Linked DNA regions of Astyanax mexicanus. The protein of the gene in region 1 binds, or shares a complex with, the protein of each later gene. Links are inferred from orthologs where the notes say so. Each region holds a gene or a part of one and is shown on either strand. Other genes may lie near its edges.

What was found. Proteins that work in one complex are often made in the same cells at the same time.
Region 2: sf3b2 (region 1) and cwc27 share a complex: the UniProt entries of both Homo sapiens proteins name them as parts of the minor spliceosome. The link is inferred for Astyanax mexicanus from reciprocal best matches to the Homo sapiens genes SF3B2 and CWC27.
Region 3: sf3b2 (region 1) and cwc22 share a complex: the UniProt entries of both Homo sapiens proteins name them as parts of the minor spliceosome. The link is inferred for Astyanax mexicanus from reciprocal best matches to the Homo sapiens genes SF3B2 and CWC22.

Annotation. Positions count from the first base shown.
Region 1 is NC_064415.1:13,364,136-13,371,809, forward strand, and holds the start of sf3b2 (splicing factor 3B subunit 2), read left to right. Parts: upstream 1-4,668; 5' UTR 4,669-4,722; coding exon 4,723-4,849; intron 4,850-6,403; coding exon 6,404-6,450; intron 6,451-7,263; coding exon 7,264-7,323; intron 7,324-7,667; coding exon 7,668-7,674. UniProt on the Homo sapiens protein: Component of the 17S U2 SnRNP complex of the spliceosome, a large ribonucleoprotein complex that removes introns from transcribed pre-mRNAs.
Region 2 is NC_064427.1:22,654,134-22,661,434, forward strand, and holds the start of cwc27 (spliceosome-associated protein CWC27 homolog), read left to right. Parts: upstream 1-4,276; 5' UTR 4,277-4,286; coding exon of another isoform or gene 4,287-4,299; 5' UTR 4,300-4,404; exon of another isoform or gene 4,405-4,412; intron 4,413-5,703; exon of another isoform or gene 5,704-5,862; 5' UTR 5,863-5,898; coding exon 5,899-5,940; intron 5,941-6,867; coding exon 6,868-6,964; intron 6,965-7,291; coding exon 7,292-7,301. Other genes in the region: protein SREK1IP1, read right to left, coding at 931-1,129, 2,178-2,253, 2,421-2,573, 2,689-2,736, 4,287-4,299. UniProt on the Homo sapiens protein: As part of the spliceosome, plays a role in pre-mRNA splicing. Probable inactive PPIase with no peptidyl-prolyl cis-trans isomerase activity. As a component of the minor spliceosome, involved in the splicing of U12-type introns in pre-mRNAs.
Region 3 is NC_064418.1:50,566,567-50,573,445, forward strand, and holds the start of cwc22 (pre-mRNA-splicing factor CWC22 homolog), read left to right. Parts: upstream 1-3,854; 5' UTR 3,855-3,908; coding exon 3,909-3,974; intron 3,975-6,879. UniProt on the Homo sapiens protein: Required for pre-mRNA splicing as component of the spliceosome. As a component of the minor spliceosome, involved in the splicing of U12-type introns in pre-mRNAs. Promotes exon-junction complex (EJC) assembly.

The DNA.
Region 1 (7,674 bases):
AGCTGCCAATACTGGCACATTACAGGAATGTTGGTTATGTACATGAATATCTAAATGATCGTAATTCCATTGCACTGTGCACTTGTTTTCAGATGTAATGACAATGAAACCTATTGACTTTATTAGAAAGCAGGGTTGACAGATCTGATTAACCCTATATTATAAAAGCTCAGAAAACTCATGTTCACAGTTTAAATGTTTTATTGTTTGTGTTTTATTTATTGCAACCCCTGTGCTTCTTATTACCACTGCTATACAAATACTTTACTGTACCATTGTACTACAATGAACCAATCTTTTTTCTTTTGTTTACATCTTAACTACTGACATTTGCAGTCTTTTGGAATTTGAAAAATTATGGTGTACAGTAAGGGAAAAACGTATTGCATGCTAATGCTATTGGATATAAGATTATTGATGTGAAGCACGACAAATAAAGATCCTATATTAGTTTAAGTTTTGGTACTTGGCGTAGCTGCTAGGGGTGTGCCATATCGTATCGTACGTGATAATATCGCAAAAAGTTTGAATATCGTGAACGATATTATACCCTGAAATATCGTGCCATATCACTCACCCCTAATTATCACAACAGAGTACTACTTTTTTGCCGTTTTTACCAAAAGAAAAATTTACACTGTTCTCATTTCCCATTATTTATCTACTAGAGACAGATCATATAACTTTAATCCTGGATATATGGAGATATTTGGAGTGCATTATTAGTATCATGACATTCTGAATCATTCTGTAACAAATCTGATAAAATTCTTTTTTTTTATATCTCAGTTAGCCATATCATATTGCATGCAGTAATAAAATTGTAAATAATTTTTCTAATTCAGTGTTTTGACATATCGCCAAAAGTATCATTATCGTGAAAATACCATGAAATATTGTGATATTATTTTAGAGCCATATCGCCCACCCTTGGTAGCTGCATTATTTTTTTCCAGGCTAAGATGTAGTGTGGTGTGTGTGTGTTCATTATAGACCCCACTCTACCTCCAGCCTTGTTATGTCACACGAGCACAGTCTGTACTGCACTAAAACATCCCTCTGCGGCTGCATGCAGGTAATACTATTTGGATTTGCTGTTATTTGCGATATTGTAGCAGTTCTTTTAATAGGTCTGTTAAAACTTATATCACAATAACAATAAATATACTATTTATTTGCAGCAAATGACCTAAAGGTTTAAGGGGGAGGTCTGACTTTATGGAATGACATTATTATTTGGGTAACCAAGCATATTTACCTACTTAATTAGCTATTTTATTGTAACCAGTTTAATCCCCTGGACCAGCATGAAGCTTCCTTATCCCTAATTGTTCAAATGTTCAATATTCTAAATGTAACATGGCCTAAAGCAAATTCTCTAATCCCCTAATGAGGAGGTCACATTCTTTTGTAATAATGTGCAATGAGTAATGGCTGAAAATATCAAGCAGGAAACATAATTTTAAGGAGTTGACAGATCCTGACATTTTATTAATCATTACTTCTATTTAAGAAATCAGTTTACTCATTTAAATAAACTGTTCCTTAAGTATACCTAAATCAATTCCATATAAAGTGAGACAATGATTTAATAAATGTAACGTTATGGAATGGATTGTTAAATTGAGAAAACTGATTCTTAAACTGAGGGAACTCCCCAGCAATAAGATTAGAGAGTATGAGGTAAAGGCAGGAGTTCCTCTACACCTTTTACATACACTGACACCAACTGTTCCAGGTTAGCTAGTTCATAAGGAAACACCACATAGGCGTACTTCCTACCAATCCTGAAAACTATGAAATTAAAATATATTTATAGAGAGATAAACAGATATATAGAGAGATAAACCAATATATAAAGAGATAAACAGTGTGTAAAGAGGTCATGTTGCAACTGTGGGGCACTGAAGCATGTACAGGAGAAGGGTGGTGCCTTGACTAATGTGTTTATTGTATTGTGTTGAGGCCAATCAGGCCACTAATACACTAATATAGTATTTGTCTGCTCTGGCAGCATTACAGCGGTTTCATACGGTGTTTAAATGTCCATATCTCTGAGAGTCAGGCCTGCCGGGCAGAGATAAAGGCGGCATGGATGTGGCAGGGCCTGAGTTAAAGACATGCTCAAAACAGAGGCAGTGTTTTCTTCACTTCCTTTATAGAGACCACAAGAGCTCACGCTCAAAAAAAAAAAAAAAACACATTTAAACAGAGATAAAGCTCTTAAAGATGTGCAAGTTTTTAGACTGGATAAAAAGCTGCATAGCTTATTAAAACAAAACAAAAAATCCATAACAAACAAAAATATTATTATTATTATTATTATTACAACTCTACACTTAAAAAGCTCTAGTCTAAACAATAACTAGCTTAACAAACAAACATAAGATTAGCTTCAGAAAACTCATGTTAATAGATAAAAGGACCAAAACACGCCAATAAATAAGCCTATATTTACTATATCCAGCTCAGAAAGCAAAAAAACACTATGTTAGTTTAGGTTAGGTTAGCTGCAGCATTACTTTCAGAGCAGCTAATCAGCACGCTCTCACTGAAAACACGCTAAACCAGACTCCCTGTCCACAAACTTCCCATAAAAACACGGACACTGTTAGATAAACTGCTTACCTGCCTTTCCTCGGAGCACTTCGGTGAATTAAAGGCGTTTTTGTATAGAAATGTTCAGCGCTGGTTCATGCCCCCATCTGTACTGAGGGCAGAGGACCTTCCTAAAGATTTGCTACCATCAGAAACAACGCTGAACCCACCTGTTTTCAGGCACGCCCCGCCCTCCCACACCCGTATTCAGGCACGCCCCGCCCTCCCACACCCGTATTCAGGCACGCCCCGCCCTTCGACCACTGCATTTAGGCACGCCCCGCCCTCCAACAACCGCATTCCGATACACCCCGCCCCCTATTCCGTGATTGGCTGGTAGATGAAATGGGCTGTGACACATGTTTCCTTTATTTTCATGTCTGTTCAAAACTTAAAAACTTCAGACCCATATCCACTAATATAAACATTACATCAAATTATGTTAATTATAATGAAGATACAGTTATTTGAATAGTATGTTACTACTACGTAAATAGAAGAAATTATAGTTAAATAAGACCAATAACCTTAATAACTATTAATCCTATAAGACATACAAGGGAGACGTGCCCCAGTGTAAAGGCAATCCATCACTGTGTAAATCCATCCATTCCATCCTGAATTCACACGATGAGCGTTAAATATTGATATAGATATAAATATAGATATTGTATAGCATCACACAATATAGAACAAAACAGTATGTAATGAAAAAAAAATATGAAATGATTAATTACCTAAACCTAAATTAATACAACTACAAAAAGAAAATTTTCATATAAATAATTTTTCTAAGACATATTTTTGAGACAATATGAGGAATATTCAGTGAAATTATTATTCATTTTATGAACGTGCAGCAGAAAGAGTTTCTTCTTACTGAAAATAAAATAGTATAAAGGTTATGATGTCAAAGGGCTTTTTCTTAAAAGGGCGGAATACATTTCAATAGCTTTATATGTGATATATACTAAAGTAATTTACAGTGTATTATAGAATTGTATAGTACAGAATACAATGAAATAGTAATATCGTAAGATTTTTTTTTAGAATAGAATAACATAAAAAGTTATAAATTTAATTAAATAGTATAGTTGTTATAGAATAGTACTGAATAAAATATTATAGATTAGTAATCTGCTCTCAGTTCTATACTTTATTCAGTGCTACATCTGAGTAAAATCGTTAAAATGCTACCTCCTTCTGGCTTCAATACGCCAATGCACATATTATGCGAATTTACTGCAGCGATGCAACAGAATTTTATTAATGTAATAGTAACAGAATGTACTACGTCATTTTAAAAAAATACTACATTAATGTCACTGTAGAATAAACTAACATTTACTATAATTAAAACTACTAACTTAAATGAACTATGGCACCGTAGAATTTACTTAAATGTACTACAGCACTGTGGAGAATTTACTAAAATATACTATCGCACTGTAGAACTTACTAAAAATGTACTACTGTGCTGTAGAATTTACTATAATGTACTATAGCACTGTAGAAGTTACTAAAATGTACTGTTGCACTGTAGAACTTACTAAAATGTACTATGGTACTGTATCATTTAATAAAATTTACCATGGCACTGCAGAATTTACTAAAATCTAATGTAGCACTGCATAATTTACTAAAATATCACTGAATAATTTACTAAAATATAATGTAGCACTGCAGAACTTACTATAAATTACTACTGTAGAATTTACTAATATATACTATGCCACGGTGAATGTATTAAAATGTACTATGGTTGTGTATAATTGAATGAAATTTTGCTACAAAGGCACTGAATAAATGATCACACTTTTCTATGACCCTGTATAATGTTCTGCTCTTGTTCTTGTGTGTTCAGCGTGTTTACACTGGGCTACTGTATGAGTGGGAACGCATGTGCACAGTTTTAAAATCCTGCTGTCCTGTTCCGGTGGGACACAGCTCTGTAGAGCGGATGCGCTGATCTATAAACACTCCGAACCACAAACTCTGAGGTGTACATGAGATATAGATCAACGCTTCTGCGCAGTGGCCCGCCGGCCTTTATTCAAGCACGCATGCGCAGTGCCTGCTGCGTCGAGTCTGCGCGGCGGTGCTGTTGAACGCGGTTGTGTGAAAATGTCTAGCGACGGACCCCCGGGAGCCGAGACCAGCCCGGAGCTGGGCGCCTCCGCCGCGGCGCTCAACACATGGAGCCACGCTGAGCTACAGGCCAAGCTGGCGGAGATCGGGGCGCCGGTAATGGGTGAGTTAACCCGGGGAGAGGCGTCTGCAGCGGGCCGGGGGAGACAGCTAAACTAAACTAAGCTAAGCTAATTAGCACGCATGCTAATCTGGAAGCTAAGCTAACTGCTTCTGATGCCGGTTGTTTGAAACAGTAACTTAGTTATTAGCTTGGTGTTTAGTGTTTATTGTGGGTCATTGCTGCGAGCGGGTTCTCATGATGTGTGTAAAGATATTAAGGCTGTTTAATCGAGTTTATTAGCACGTTAAACTGATTTAAAACGAGTAAAGTTGCGTGTAGCTGCGCCATGTTGGTTCTGTAGCTATCAATGAACTGGGAAACTAGTTAGCTAGCTAACTGTTAGCTGTTGTGGTAAATGTTGTGTCCTAAGTAAAACGCACACAACCCAAGCCCGTCATATTGCTAAACCTCTTATTTCATGACTACTTTCTTATTCTTGTGTATAAATGTCAGACATGTGTTTATCAATACAAGTCAGTTGGTCTATGTGTCAATACTGCATACAGCTCTGGAAAATCAGACAATTTGAAAATGATGATTTTCTTTGATTTTACTAAATTGAAAGCCCCTGGAATATAAGGAAGGAAAATGGGTAATCATAAGCCATCAAACCAAGCTGAACTGATTGATTTTTTGCACCAGGAGTGGCAAAAAATTACCCAAAAGCAGTGTGTAAGACTGGTGGAGGAGATCCTGCCACAGAGCTAATAAATATATTCATGTAATCTTCAATAAATGTGTTTTTATCTTATCAGCTACACTAAGCATAAAGGTGCAATATGTACACTAATAATTACATAGTAGAGTCCTGTATCTGTTTCTCTGTAGACTTCACTGTCTTCCTTTTACCCTGTTTATTCAAATGGTCAGGACTCCACAGGTCTGCTACAATTGGTCCGAAACAGCAGTGCTGCTGACGTTTTTAAACACTGTTCAGTCTATTAGGAACTCCTACCTAGTTCTTCCACCTTGTAGACGTAAAATCAGAGACGGAGGCTCTAAATCTGTTGATGCACTGTTAGGTCATCCTTGAGTCCTTCATCAGTGTCCACATGGTGCTGTTGATTGGATATTTGATATGGATATTTGTCTAGTCCAGCAGAGACTCCTTATGTTGTTTAAAATCTCCAGCAAATCACTAAAATTAGAATGCATACAAATCATTTTACGAAAAATAGTTTAAGTGTGTCATCTGTTCTGTTGTGATCTGGAGTTTTTAGAGTAGAAGCTCTCTTACTACTGAGAGATAAGTTTAAATAATGAGCTTAGTTACCAAAAAAAAATACACAGAATATAACTGTAAATCAATAAAATACAGAAAGTAGAAAGTACAATGTGAACATGTAATGTTAGAGGTAAGCTTGATGTTTTGCGAAATGCTAAATGTACAATAGAGTGAAGTACAATGTAAAGTTGTGCAATTAGAGAAGTCACAATTATTATTCACATTTGTTGAATTTCCTGTGTGTAATGTATGCATATGAGAGTAATGCATGGCAAACAAAACAGTGCAGTTGTTTAATACAGTATTTTCTGTTTATTCTTTTTTCTCAGGCCCTAGAGAAGAGTTAATAGACAGGTTGAAAAATTACATGATGCAGGTAAGAGACTTGTAAAGTAAATAATTTGGTTTCACTGTTTGTACCTTTTTTTTTCCACTGTTATTTTGAGCTTGAGTGTTGTGATGAAGTAGGCTATACCCCTCTTCATCACCATAAAGACTATATCACTTACCTGTGTACACTCATGCTCAGCCTGTTGAGACAAAAGGGTACTACACGTAACTCAAAACCTTTTACTTACCTGGGTGAGTCCATCCTTGCAGAAGAGAGGGGGAGTGTGTACCTGTAAAAGAAAGGGAAGAAATGTGAATGTGTATTTTATATGTACATTGAAACTCGTACAGATTTCAGCACTTACAAACTGATTAGAGTTTGCTACTATTATTATTATTATTATTATTAATATTGTTGTTCTTATTATATCATAGTACCATGTACTTGGTGTATCATTACCCGGTTCTACCCGTGTGAGAAATGGTATGTTCATGGGAGGGGTTAATGGTATAAAAGGTGTACTGGATCTATGAGTAAGGGGGGGGCAGATAGTTCGGGATATCAGCCATGAAAAGAAGCTCTATACGACTGTATAGGAGATAGACCTTATTCTCTGCGTGAAGAGATTATTTTGTGTTTGTTTACTTTTCGTTTTCTTTTCTCGTCAAGTACGTACGCCTGTAAATTTGTAAATATTAGTGTTGGTGTGTAAATAAACGGTGTCGGATAAACTGTACCTCCTTGTTGCCATGGTTACTGGCCCTGCTTCTGAGCGCTCGCCCTACACTACCCATAAAGTTTCGTTCTGTCCTTGCTGGATATGAATGCGCTTTATCACAAGTGTTTTTTTCCCCTCAGACTGGAATCATGTTGAATAAGCCCAACATACCTGGTGGAGATGACAAAGGCATGCCCACGGTAAGCCCTCTTATTTATTATGTTTATATCATCATGTGATGTGAATTATGGAAAATAAATTAAATGTAGAGGTAGACACTCAGTTTTCACAGTTTCAGATCCAGTTTTCACCCAGAACCAGAGACCCTGAATCTTTTTACTAAAATAAAGCTTGAGAGGATTTAAACAAAACATTTATTATATATACATTAATTGTACAGTTATTAAGCAATTTTTTTTACAAAAAATGATTAGGAGGTCATTTCAGCCCTGCTGAATACCTGAGATCTAAGTTTTCTGGTCTTTTGATCTTATGATTTTTGCTCATGTCAGTGAATTAACGTCTTCCTTCTCTCACCTTATAGATTCCAG
Region 2 (7,301 bases), on another chromosome or scaffold:
TTTGGTAAATTTACCATTTTGACTGAGGATTTGTGGGTTTTGGTGAATTTACTTGTTCATATTCTTATTTCTCTTAAAAAGTAAGTTGTTAATTTAAATAAAGGTAGGCATTAATGCTTAGCCAATTATAAATAACCTAGAAGGCAGTAAAAAATATCTGAGGTAATGATTGTGTTTTCCACAAAAAAATAGAAGAGGCAAACTGGAAATTGCAGACTTAAACTCTTAATAAACTCTTAAAAGACTTAATAAACTCTTGATTAGGTAACATAGCTTTTATTCTGTGTCTGTAAGCTTTTAGAGAACATGTAAAAAAAACGATAAAATTAAAGCACAGTACAGATAAAAGCCTCCATCTGTATTTATGCTCATTTTCGCTCAATGTTAAATGTGGATGTGGATATGGATGGAGCCTATTGTCCATATATTGCATTAATTTAATCTGTATTTGTGCACATTATATAAAAGTTTACGGATACAGTCTGAATGTAGCACTTCCAATGGAAACAGTGGAGACAGTGTAACCAATAATTTATATAAAAATAGACCACTGCCAAATGAGCACTTATAAATATGATTCTACACTTATAAGAATAAACAAACATAAGTTCACATTATAGAAAAGTAACAGCCACATGTTTTTATTTACTTTCTGTACAAAATCATAATTGCATCAAAAATACACTAAGAAAGGTTACCTTTCCACCAGCACAATAAACCTCCATAAGAGAACATAGCTACCAATGTCAGGAGAAAGATTCACTGCTTAAACAGTAACATATCTATACACGGCTCTGAAACTCCCCTAGTCTTTGGGTATTTCAGATCATAATTATTTTAATTAAAATCTGCCGCAAATGTCTGAGCCTTTACGTTCATAAGAAATGCTGGTCCTGGTGAGCCGACATCAAAAATAACAACATTAACATCTCAGTCTGTGTCTGAAGATCCGCTGGAGCTGCTGGATGAGGAGGTCTGTTTAAGTTTCTTCTTGCTCTTTTTCATACGTCTTTTCTCTTTCTCTTTTTTTTCCTTTTTGCCTTTCTTCTTATGGCTCTTGTGCTTTTTCTTTTTTTTGCTCTCCTCTTCCTCCTCCTCCTCATCATCATCATCACTAGATGAATAAGACCTGAATCAAAGTAATAAGAAATTAATAAAACATAAATGACAAAAAAACTTTCTATTGTTATTTTTTATTTAAGGCAAAATATATTATTAAAAATGTTCTTTTTATATATTTTTAAACATTTTTATAATTTCAGATAAACGATTCTTGTGCGACAGGGTCATGTCAGCAAATTACTTATAAAAATGTATAATTTTACTTGTAATAATAGAAATATATATATTTACTGATTTTAAGAATGTTAAGAATATGTTATGGTAGTTTACATACTGCTCTCTCATTTTTTTTGGCACAACAGTGTAAATATTTTGCAGTGAATTTTACTTATTAGAGTATGTACAGCTAAAATATCTTCCACAATTCACAATTAAAGCCCCTATTGACACTGAGAATGTATACCTAATGTGAATTGTATATTATAATTATATAGTTATATACACATTGCTTTTATTAAATGAAGTAAAAATTTAATGAGATCAAATCAAATCCCACAAATTTCAAAACTAGTCCTAAAATAATTTCTTTAAAAACATCTCAGCAACTCAAGGTCAGCTTCAGAGATGCACCCTAACTGACCACTTAAGGTAAATGGTTATCCATTAACTGTCCATTAACCTCTGAGAGGATAAAAAAAAAAAGAAAAATATGTGGCATCCAGTCCAGTTATTTTTTTTTCCACATTTAAAATGGTACCACTTTATATTTTTGCTTTACTTTATTTGCACTTTAAAATAAATGTTTATTGATATAAAAACACAATCTATGATATTTTCATATTTCCTATTGTTACTATTATAAATACAAATTACAGTTTCAGCTTTGCTTACAACACATTGAATTTAACCTTCTATAAATGTATTTTACAGCAACAATATGCAACATTTTTCTGTTAACATCAGTATGTTATTATCAGTAATATAATAATATCAGTCAACACTTTATGCTGTATACAATACTGTAACAGCTGTATCAGTAATATAAAATGGCATACTTCTCCAGATATGCATTTAAATAATAAAAAATGTGTGTTTGGAAGTTTTGCAGATTGTACCTCTTTTTTGCTTTACGGTGGGATCTTTCTTTACTTTTCTTTTTGTGCTTTTCCTTTTTTGAGTCCTCCTGAGAACCTGCAGAGGAAGCAAATATCAAACTCTGATTATCAGCATTCCTGTCATTTTCTACACTTTCCATTTTAGAGTCCAGAAATAATTAACACTATAGCCATCAGTGATTGCAAATCTAGAAAAAAGTTATAGTTAAGCAGATCAAACTAATTATCAAATAATGCCCAAACCTTTAGAATTGCTCCCAAAGATCTTCTCCTTGCTGACAGCCGCCTGCTCTTCTTCCTCGCTCTCTTCAGTGCTTGTGCTGCTAACGTCCAAAACGATGTCCTTCCTGGGGTCCACTCGCACAAAGTTACGACACTCGAACGTCAGGTGACCCGCTGGCAAAGTAAGGAAATCATTTGTTTTGCAACAATAAAGAATTACAGTAATAATGCTAATTAAAAGCTGAATACAAAGTAAATATGATCCAAACGGATCATTCTCAATACTTACGATAGCCACATCTTTTACATCCAGCTCGAATATTATCCTTATTAACACCTGTTTAAAAAACAATTATAAACCCATTAGTAAAGATATGCAGTACTAGTCAAAAGTTTTAATACACCACAATTGTTTAATTGTCCAGAATATCTTTGGACTTTATAACTTGTTTGACAGTAGACCAACACCAGCAGATGACATGCCTCTCCAAACCATTACTGATTGTGGAAATGTCACAGTAGATCTCAAGACTGTGTGTCTCTTCACTCTTCCTCCAGACTCTGGTCCCTTGTTTTCCAAAATGAAATGCAAAATTTACTGATGATCAGTGATGGTTTGGAGAGTCATGTCATCTGCTGGTGTTGGTCCACTGTGTTTTATTATCCAAGTCCAAAGTCAGTGCAGTGTTTTCCCAGAAAATCTTACAGCACTTCATGCTTCCCTCTGCTCATAACTTTTATGGAGATGCAGATTTCATTATCCAGCAGGACTTGGCACACTGCCCACATTGCCAAAAGTACCAATTGGTCTTTTATAATATTTTAATTTTCTAAGATATTGACTGTTGGGGTTTTCATTGGATGCAAGCCATAATCATCAATACATCTATATTATATATGAGCTTTAAATTTTGAACTAAATTACAGAAATATAGTAACTTTTCATTGAAATTTTTATTTTGATGCACTAGTATATGTACAGCTCTGGAGAAAGACCACTTAAAAATGATGAGTTTCTTTAATTTTACCAAATTGAAAACGCAAGATGGATGATCGCAAGCCATCAAACCAAGCGAAACTGATCCAACCCCAACTGCGAAACTGCTTGACTTTTTTGCAGCAGGAGTGGCATTAAGTTAAACAAAAGCAGTGTGTAAGACTGTGCATGAAAAATGTGATTAAAAACCAGTGTTATTCCACCAAATATTGATTTCTGAACTCTTAAAACTTTATGAATATAAACTTGTTTTCTTTGCATTATTTAATAATTTCTTTGCATTTTATTTGGAAGCAATGTTGTCTGTAGTTTATAGAATAATTTTGCTCAAACATATACCTATAAATAGCAAAATCAGAGAAACTGATTCAGAAACGGAAGTGGTCTCTCCAGAGCTGTATATACGCACTAGCGATGAAATAGTGAACGTTTATTTAACGTTTTTTTTGCTGAATATGGTAACGTTAACTAACTAGTGAGCTGGCTAGTTATCTAGCTAACCTAGCTTTACATAGTTGCTGTGAGAACAAAAGCTATTTAAGATAACCTAGCTATTTAACTAAAAGGGATTTTTTAACAAGGCAACGTTTAAATGACACCGTGCAACATTCATATATGTATTTAATAAATATGATCAAAACTAGTGCGCTAACTAGCATCAGTAGTTAGGTTAACTAGCTTAGCTCAGCTAGTTAGTTAGTTAATAGTTATCTTAGCTACATATAGTTTTGTATAGGAGCTGCTACTGTAAGCCTAGCTAAGCTAAGCTAAGCTAAGCTAACCTAGTACTGTTCCAGAATGTTCCGGGCGCGCGCTTCCCGCCAAAACAGGAACAAACGGGGTAAACCAGCTAATCTAAGCTAGTCAGATCTGTAGCTAGTTTTACATACCTGGAACAGCCATTTCAGCTGAGTATAGAGATTTTAATGTGAAAAAAATGCAGCTCGTCCTCAAAACACAACAACACACACCAGGCTCTTCTCCTTCTTCTTCCTCTAGTAGCTTACGGTGAGCATTACCGCCACCCGCTGAAAGCCGGGGAACTTACACACAGGCGTTTATTCAATATTCCCTTTGGCTCTGATACTGACATTAGGCTGTTATCTATGTTATCAATTTACCTGATAATGTCATACATTTTACTTGTATTAGTCTGTTATCAGTGCATTAGGTTCAGTTAGCACTGCAATAGGCAATAATAATGCCTGATATATGTATAATAATGCACGTATAGTACAGATTGCCTTTAGTCAGCAACTATATTTAAACTATTATTAACATGTTAGATTAAGTATTCTAACTCTGTGCTCCAGGCATTTGAGCTTATTATATAAGAGAAAGTGGAAGATGTGCATCCTAATAGGAGGCGAATATTATGGTAAAAAGCCTGACCCAGCATTATACTCATTATATTTTTCTCCCTATAATGACCCACATGTAAGGTTTGTATGGTTGTTAGCGTTTTGTAGTTTGCCACCAGAGGTCTAAACAAGCACATACACACTTTTGTTTATTCAGATATGCACCACATTAGTGTACTCTCAGTTTAAGTGAATCCCTAATACATAAGTGAGGAGTTGAAGACAGGCACACAAAAACACTAACTGTGTCAGTCCCTCAAGGTCAGGCTCTTTTAAAAACACAGTAGTGTTTCAATTAGCTTTTAAGTAGCATTTAAAGTAGTCTTAATCAGTTAACGTAAATCAGGTTATAAATGAACCCTTATTTTTAAACTTCTCAATGTCACTGCTGGACTGAAATAAGTCTACCAGTTGTTGTGTCCCGTGGGTAATGTATGTAGAAACAAGGAGGTGGTTATGATGGTATTCTTGACCAGTCTTTGATGTGTAATGATAACAATGGTTTTAAAATGTGATATTTTGTTCGTTTTTAATATTAAAAGATTTGTTGGAGAGCCTACCCACTTCCTATAATTTCTATCAGAAAATGACTGTGAATCGCTAGAGGGCACCCGCGAGTGAGATCAAAATAAATGGGGGTGAATGGAGCTAAACCGCTACAACTCAAAATAAAAATAGTAAGGTAATTTTATATATATATATATATATATATATATATATATATATATATATATATATATATATATATACATCTCCGGTACATTCCTTTAATTTTGGAAGTCGGAATAGTGTATTTTGCTAATAAAATATATAGAACTCACCTGTATATTTTATATTTTCTACAGTAAACTCACTTGGGTGCGCCCTCTGGTGGTTAAACAAACCTTTCTATTATAGAGATTCTCTGGCATAACTATCTTGGGCCTCTGAACTGTAGGTTGGTTCGCTAGCTTTAGGTGGCAGCAGTGCGGTTAGCAGTGTTTTTCCCCCAGTCAGGATGTTAAAGAAGGAGAAGTCTAAGCTGGCGGCGGTGTACAGGATTTATTAGAGTGATATTTTATGTTTATGCGAGTTTTTTGCCGTTTATTATCGTTTTTTTTTTCAGTACGGTAGCTGGCGTCCTACTAATACTGCTTCAAACATGAGCAACATATACATCCAGGAGCCTCCGACTAGTGGCAAGGTGCGTAGCCAGGGAGCTAACTAACCTAACCTAGCCTTAGTTCACTGAGTTTTGTTTCTTTAAATATAAAAAATAAATAATATGACGAACAAACAAGGTTATTTCCCAAACACCGCCCTTTAGTGTGTGTTTCTGACTCACTGACTGTCTCAAAAAACTGCACTGTACTGTAACTCTAGTTAGTTACTGGGTTAAGTTAGCTAGCAAAACATAAATATTCAGCATTAAGGCTTGGCGATATGGCCCTAAAATAATATCACGATAGGGTGCTCAGGGTGTTTTTGCTATATTTTTTGACGATATTACAAAACATTATTTAAAAAAACCCCAACATAATTTCAACTATGAATGTCCTAATCACATCACAGGCCATTTAAACTGACATAATGATAATAGAATAGCATAACAAAGCGTTTCCATATTTTTAAAGACAAAATTTGTAATTAATCATAGTTCAGGATGTATAGCTATACTTTGTTTTTACCTAAGTTACTGCAGTCAACAATGTTTGTACTGTGTGGAGTCTCAATTTTTAAAACATTGGTCATTTAGCATGACTAGGTAAAATACTGTTCACTGTTAAGTTATGTAATATATGTGAACACATATTCACATAATAGAACACAATAGATTTTACAACAATTAAATATTATTGAGGTAATGTCCATTTAGTTTATGATAATCACAAGTTTTGTCATTAATTACTTAAATCAATTTGTGTTGCCAGTTTAAACTTATCCAGCTCCAGGCTTTGAGACCTGTTCAACAATGCTAGAAATCTGATCCTGATACCTTAAGAGCCTCCTATCGCTCAGCCATTTTATGCAACCAAAAAAAAGTAACGTTTCTTCAATGTTCTTTGCTATCAGGGGAGATTAGCAATCTGAGACAATTTTTAAAACTGTCTCCATTTTATTTTTCTTAAAGGTTTTAATTAAGACCTCTGCAGGTGATATTGATGTGGAGCTGTGGTCAAAAGAAGCTCCCAAAGCCTGCAGAAACTTCACTCAGCTGTGCATGGAAGGTAAGTCTAGCATATTTAGTCTTTTTACCTCTTTGACATTCCTTTATGTTTAAATGTGTCTGTAGTAGTACACTTCATTCTCAATTTAAAAAATAGCTTCCCCAATTTAATAAATGCAAGGTTTGGTTGTTAAACGTCAATCCAACTTTCACTGGCTCTGCAGACTAAGATGCTCAAGTCACAGATAATGCTGCTTTGTGATCAACAGCCGGAGTCTAAATGTCCTGGAGGACTTTCTTGCACTCTAGCCAGTGCCTGTGGGACAGTGGGCAGTGAAACAAATACTATGTTAGTAATGTACATGTTATAAATTTTCTTCTTTGTCAGGTTACTACAA
Region 3 (6,879 bases), on another chromosome or scaffold:
TGATGTGTAATGAGTGATGATGATGATTGATGAGTGATGAACCAGACTGAAGAATCTCAATCGCTTCAGGACGGATGACGAGTCGATAATAGGTGACGTCTTCAATTACGCTTAATAACGAGTTTTAGAGAAACAGAGGATATGATGAGATGAGTGATTATCTCAGAATGATAAAACACTGTTAGTTACACTTTTATTACACAACATAACAGAATAAGAGCAATTAATCACACTCACTCACTCCCACTTAAAATTAAAATACTGATAGAGGAAGTGGCTATAACTCTAAGAAAAAAACATTAAACCATTTTTTAACCCTTTCAGACCCTGCTTTCATTACAATGGGCATCATGCATTTTCTTATTTTTTTAAGTGTCAAAACACTAACCGAGAGCTGTTTTTAATCAGAATAGACTTTAAACAAGCCAAATAAAAAGTTTATGAGCCAATGAAAGGATAGCTTAGCCCTTATCACAAAAAAACAGCACTAGAACCAAAGAAGCAAATATATTGGAATATAAACAGGTTGAGAGCAGTAACGCACTGCCTCTGATCAGCACTAGGGGGCGGTATTGTGTAAGCAAAGAGTCTGTACACACTCTGCCGAGTTTAATCAGAGATAATCAGACAGACAGACAGAGAGACAGAGAGATAGATTGTTTGAGTAAAATGAACATTGTTGTTTTATTCTATAAACTACAGACAACATTTCTCCCAAATTACAAATAAAAATATTCTCATTTAGAGCATTTATTTACAGAAAATGAGAAATGACTGAAATAACAAAAAAGATGCAGAACTTTCAGACCTCAAATAATGCAAAGAAAACAAGTTCATATTCATAAAGTTTTAAGAGTTCAGAAATAATCAATATTTGGTGGAATAACCCTGTTTTTTAATCACAGTTTTTTTTTTCATGCATCTTGGCATCATGTTCTCCTCCACCAGTCTTACACACTGCTTTTGGATAACTTTATGCTGCTTTACTCCTGGTGTAATAATTCAAGCAGTTCAGTTTGGTGGTTTGATGGTTTGTGATCATCCATCTTCCTCTTGATTATATTCCAGAGGTTTTCAATTTGGTAAAATCAAAGAAACTCATCATTTTTAAGTGCTCTCTTATTATTTTACAGAGCTGTTCTTCAGATGTTCAGTAGGGGGCGTCCTCTCCCGCAGTAGGAGCAGGAGTGTTAGTATTAGTGTGGTGTGGCTGGTGAGCAGCTGCATCCCATCACACACTAAACTCCTCCAGATGGAGCTGGACCCGGCCCAGGCCGGCACCGGGCTTCAACTGGGTTACACCGGGTCCACACCGCCATCAGGGACCACACACACTGCAGCCTGAACCACACACACCACACACACGCCCAACACCGCCTCAGCATCCGGTGCCAGCTCACCAGCCCAGTAACCTGCCCTACTGTACTACTTAGAGATAAATACTAAATTTAATTCCTTTTCTAGACACATGAGATCTTAGGTCCTATTTATCCATAGGTGTGCCATCATTCGTGCACCATGAAGCTTGATTTAGGGCGTGGCAGTGTGTCTTTGCTATTGTAAAGACGGGAAAAGTATTAATCATGGGTGTGGTTAATTTTGGGCGTAACGTGAAATAAATTTAATAAACCAATCAGAGAGTCTCTTCAGCTCATCATTCTCTTTAAGAGTAGATCAGGTGAGCTCTGTCTTTGGTGGATTGCTATTGTAACGGTGCAGCTACCTGGACGTGTTCAACAAACTCTTCTCAGCAGAGGAAACTGAGCTGCTGGTTGACGCTGTGAAGGAGCTCCAGCAGCTCATTTACGGGAACAGCAATGTTATTTTATTTACTATTCTGTTTATTGTTGATGTAAAAGTTGGGTTTGTGCTGCTGTGTGTTCATGTGTGTGTAATAAGTGGGGGTGTACGCTCGGCTCGGCACGGCGCCTGTGTTACCGAGATAGCGATGAACGCACAACCCCAAATCTGAAAAATACACAATACAGGTGATTTACAGGTGATTATAATCGTGCATTGTGACCATAACCATCCTCTTTACTCATCATTTCAGCTGCTGCCATCAAGCAGGAGACTAAAGGTTCCACTAAAGTTAAAGTTTTCTCTTATCTTATCTTTAAAAATAAGCTAAAATAAATACATTAAACATGCACAAACCTTGATATAAATGAGTGTATGTTGCTGAAATGTTTGATAGTGTTAAGAACAGTTTTATGGTTTTAATGTGAACTGAACCTCTGGCTGAATATGCAGCAGTAACTGTTATTATGTAAGTAAAGCAATTTTAGCTTTGTTGTTTTTGTTGTTTTTATTTTCTATTCATTATTATTTCTCTCACACAGTGTTTACCGGCCGTCTGGTGGCTGTGTGGTGGGGCAGGGCCTGTGGCGCTGGTTCCTGTACTGAGAGAGAGAGAGTGGGCACAGCGGGCAGAGAGGGCAGTGTGTGGCATGTCCTGCCAACGGGATAGTTAAATTAGAGCTGAGACTCTCTGATTGGTGGAGGACGTCAGGGGCACAGCCTCTGTCTGGCTGCAGGACCAAGACATACAGGTGTATTACTGAGAGGAAAGTCTTATATAGCAGTATACAGGACATTCCTGCTCCAATTACACGTCTTGTTTACTTCAGGAGGTCTTAAAAAGAGTGATCCAATCCAAAAAGCACAAAACTTATTCTGAGCAAAATAGATGGTTATTTCACTGCATTCAAGCTGAGCACAAAGGGCAGAACACTATAGACCAGTGATATGGGTATCAGTTGTGGTCCGCAATGCATTTTCAAAGCAACTCAGAAAATATTTATATTAAAAAAATGTATAAGGTATTGATTTCAACCTAAAAATTTTAACCTTGATCAGGTTTGTTTGTGTACCTGGTAGAGCCTGCATATAAGCTTTATTTTCACACTTCAGATATTTAAAGTTCTATAGGTCCTACAGTTGAACCTTGTGGAACTCCACCATTCACAATATCAGTAGTTATTTACTGTATTAGTATTAATAGCTAAATAATTAGTATAGGGTTTAAGGGGGAGCCATGTAGACTCTGTGGTTCACTCCTCCCTATTCTCACACTCCTGTTATTTCCCTCTGTCTTAAACTTTCCCACATGTCTCAGTAGGCATACTGCATTTACAATAAACAATAATCAAGAAATACAGTGTGGTAAAAAAAGTATTTCATTTTAGTTTTGGGTTCTTTTTCATACTTACATTTTCAGAATAAAAAAAAATCTTTTAATATCAGACAAGGATAATCTGAGTAACTAAAAAAATATTTTTTTTGAACGATAATTTCATTTATTTGTGAAAAAAAATATATGTGAGAAAGTATTTGCCCCCTAAAAACAATACCTTGGTTGTGATGTCACTGATGATGTCAAATGTTAATAATAAACATTTAAAATAGCTAAATCATTGTAAAAAAAAAACGTGTTTAAAAAATTAACAATATAATATTTTAAAAGGACCATGGTAATGTAATCAGGCAGTGCTGCAGACAAACTCACCCCCCACAACCAATAAAACCGTATATAACATAGAAAAAGTTAGTTAAAGTGAAGATTTATATGATTTTTTTATGATAATAATAATAATAATAATAATAATAATAATAATAATAGTAATAATAATAATGTGTTTTATTGAGATAATATCAATAACGTCTTATTTTGTTATTTGTTTAAATTTAACACAGTAGTTTCTACGTTTAATCGTTTAGGAAACGTTGTAAGCTGCAAAATAATAGACTGTCTAAACGTTGTCGCAACGTTACCGTGTTCATACAGGAAGTCGCGCCTTTTTTTCTGACATCGACTTCAAGCTGCGTCTAAAACGCGTTTTCACTTTTGTTGTTTGTCCCTTTCCGGTACCCGTAGCGGCTTCCACTCGTGGTGGAAAGAGGCGAACATGGCGGCGGCGGCGGAGTCCGGAGAAAAAGAGGCGGCGGAGGGATTAACCCGCAGCCCGGAGCAGGTGAGCGGGAGCCGGGGAGCGGGCGGCGGAGATACCGCTGCGGGGGAGCGGGACCCGGAGCGGGGAGAGCGCGGGACACAGACCGGGGGGAGAGAGCGGGAGAGCGGCCTGTGTACACACACACTCCCGGAGCGCGCGTTATTAATCTCATACTACACAACTATCGATTAATCGGGTTATTGATCATTAAACAGCAGATTTAAGGTCAAATGCGGCTCACACACACTAATAAACCCCCTATACTAACTAACAAACACACTCTTAGTGTTTATTTACAGTTAATAGTAATGATGTTTACAGTAATTATGGTGTTCAAACAACTGTCCTACTTTAGCACCAAACTTAGAGCTAACACTCACTATACTACATTACTATTCACTATACTACACTAATACTCACTATAATTACTATAATGATACTCTATTCCACACTCATAATAACTGTGCTAGACTAACAAATACTATAGTACAGTAATACTCACTTTACTACACTAACACTCACTGTAATACAAGACTAACACTATTAGTTACTACAATAACACTCACTATACTACACTAACACTAACTATACTACACTAACACTCTATAATACTACACTAATACTAACTATACTGGACTAACACTGACTACTTGTAGAACACTCACTATACTACATTAAAACTCACTAATTCTACACTAATACTATACTGTATTACTACTGTAATACTACTTTAACACTCACTATACTATACTAACACTTTAATACCACACTAATATGCACTGTACTGGACTAACACTATACTATTCTGAAAACTATTATACACTAAAATTCACTGTACTACACTAATGCTCACCATACTACACTAATACTCACTATACTACACTAGCAGTCACTAGAATATTCTACATTGATACTTACTATACTACAGTAATGCTCACTGTAGTCTACTATGCTTATGCTCACTATACTAGACCAATACTCACTATACTACACTAATTCTACACCATTACACTACAACACCACCAATACTATACCTATACTAATACTCACTATAATATACTACACTAATACTCTACACTTATACTCACTGTTTTAAACTAACACACAAACTCTTGGTGTTTATTTACACTTACCAGTAGAGTGGTGTTTATAAAACTCTCGCCAAACTCTCACCTAACTCTCACTATATTAACTAATACACACTACACTATTATAGTGCCGTAAAAAATATATTTGCTCCTTATAGATTTCTTTTGTCATTGCTTTTTTTGTCATACTTATATTTTTCATATTCTCAAACAAACTTCAATATCAAACAAATATAACCTAAGTAAATATAAAAAGCAGCTGGAGATCATCAGGATGTTAGTTGGTAAATGTGAGACGGGTGGTTGTATTTCTCTGTTTTTGGTCAGCAGTGTTTTTTTTTTTATTATTTATTTCTTATTATTAAATCATTAACACTGATCTTAACTGAGGCTTTAGTGAGATCCTGCAGTTCTTTAAATGTTGTTCTGGGTTCTTTTATGGACCTCCTGGATGAGTTCTTCATGCCCTTTGCAGTAATTTGGGTCGGCCGGTCACTCCTGGGAAGGTTCACCAGTGTTCCATTTGTTTTTTCTCCATTAGTGAATAATAGTGAATCACTGTGGTTCTCTGGAGTCTCAAAGCTTTAGAAATGACTTTATAACCTTTTCCAGACTGAAAGATGATCAGTAACTTTTTCTCATCTGATGTTGAATTTCTTCAGATGGGAGAATAATAATGTGCTGATTTTTTAGATCTTTTATCTTCCTTATGTTTTCAGATATGTTCTATTTTAGTGATTTTCATTGTAGCTATGGCTAGGTTGGTTTGGATAAATGTTGTTTTCCCTTATTACAAGAAATAGTAAAAAAGGCTTTTTTTTATGTTTACCCAGGTCTTTCTGTTTTTGAAGTTTGTTTAATAATCTGAAAAATGTAAGTATGATAAAAAAAAAAGCAAAAATAAATGTCTATAGGGGTGGGGCGAAATACACTGTACACACTAACACACTAATTATACACTGTAGTATTGTATCTAGGGATATATGTAGTCTTATCATTCTATGATCTTGAGATTAAATGTGACCTAAAAGGTACTTTCAGAATCAGAACGTAAATAAAAAAATCCATAATCCATTTTTAATATTTCAGACACCTTCTGACACTGGCTTTAACATGATTTATTTAGCTTAGCCTTCTCTTCCTGTTTTATTTCGGAACGTTTTATTTGATAAAGTAGTTTATTTTGGAGTTTCAGGTTGCAGTAAGTGTTCCATCTGTTCCACTTAAGAAGTGTTTAAAAATTTAAGAGCGTAAGCTCTAAAAGAAAAGTGTATTTTAGCTCCTGTGAGTCATATCTAAGTTTTTTATTCACAGTACAAACTTAATAAATTATCTTTATATACCATTAAAAATTTAAATAGTATACATTTATGTTTGTCTTGCTTTTCAAAAAGAAAAAACAACTGCAGATATACAATTTAAAAATGTTTATTGCACACAAAACATTATCATTCAGGGCTATTCTAATCATACATTTACCTCAGAAATTAAAATGAAATCTCAATATTCTTTGAATATACACTACAGGTAAAATGTATAATTTTTCCACTTTATCTTTGTCATTTAATCTCTTTATGTATAGTCTGGAACCTGAAATAGTAAATATTCCAGTGTACAAAAAATATTTTTATTCTAATCATGAATTTACCTCAGCAAAGCTTCTTTCTTTTTAATCATACATTTACCTGAGCAGCACTATTCTAATCATGGATTTACCTCAGCAGTGCTATTCTAATCATGGATTTACCTCAGCAGTGCTCTTTTATTTATACATTTACCTCAGCATTTACCTCAGCATTTACCTTAGCATTGTGACTGTTCTAATTGTGAATTCACCT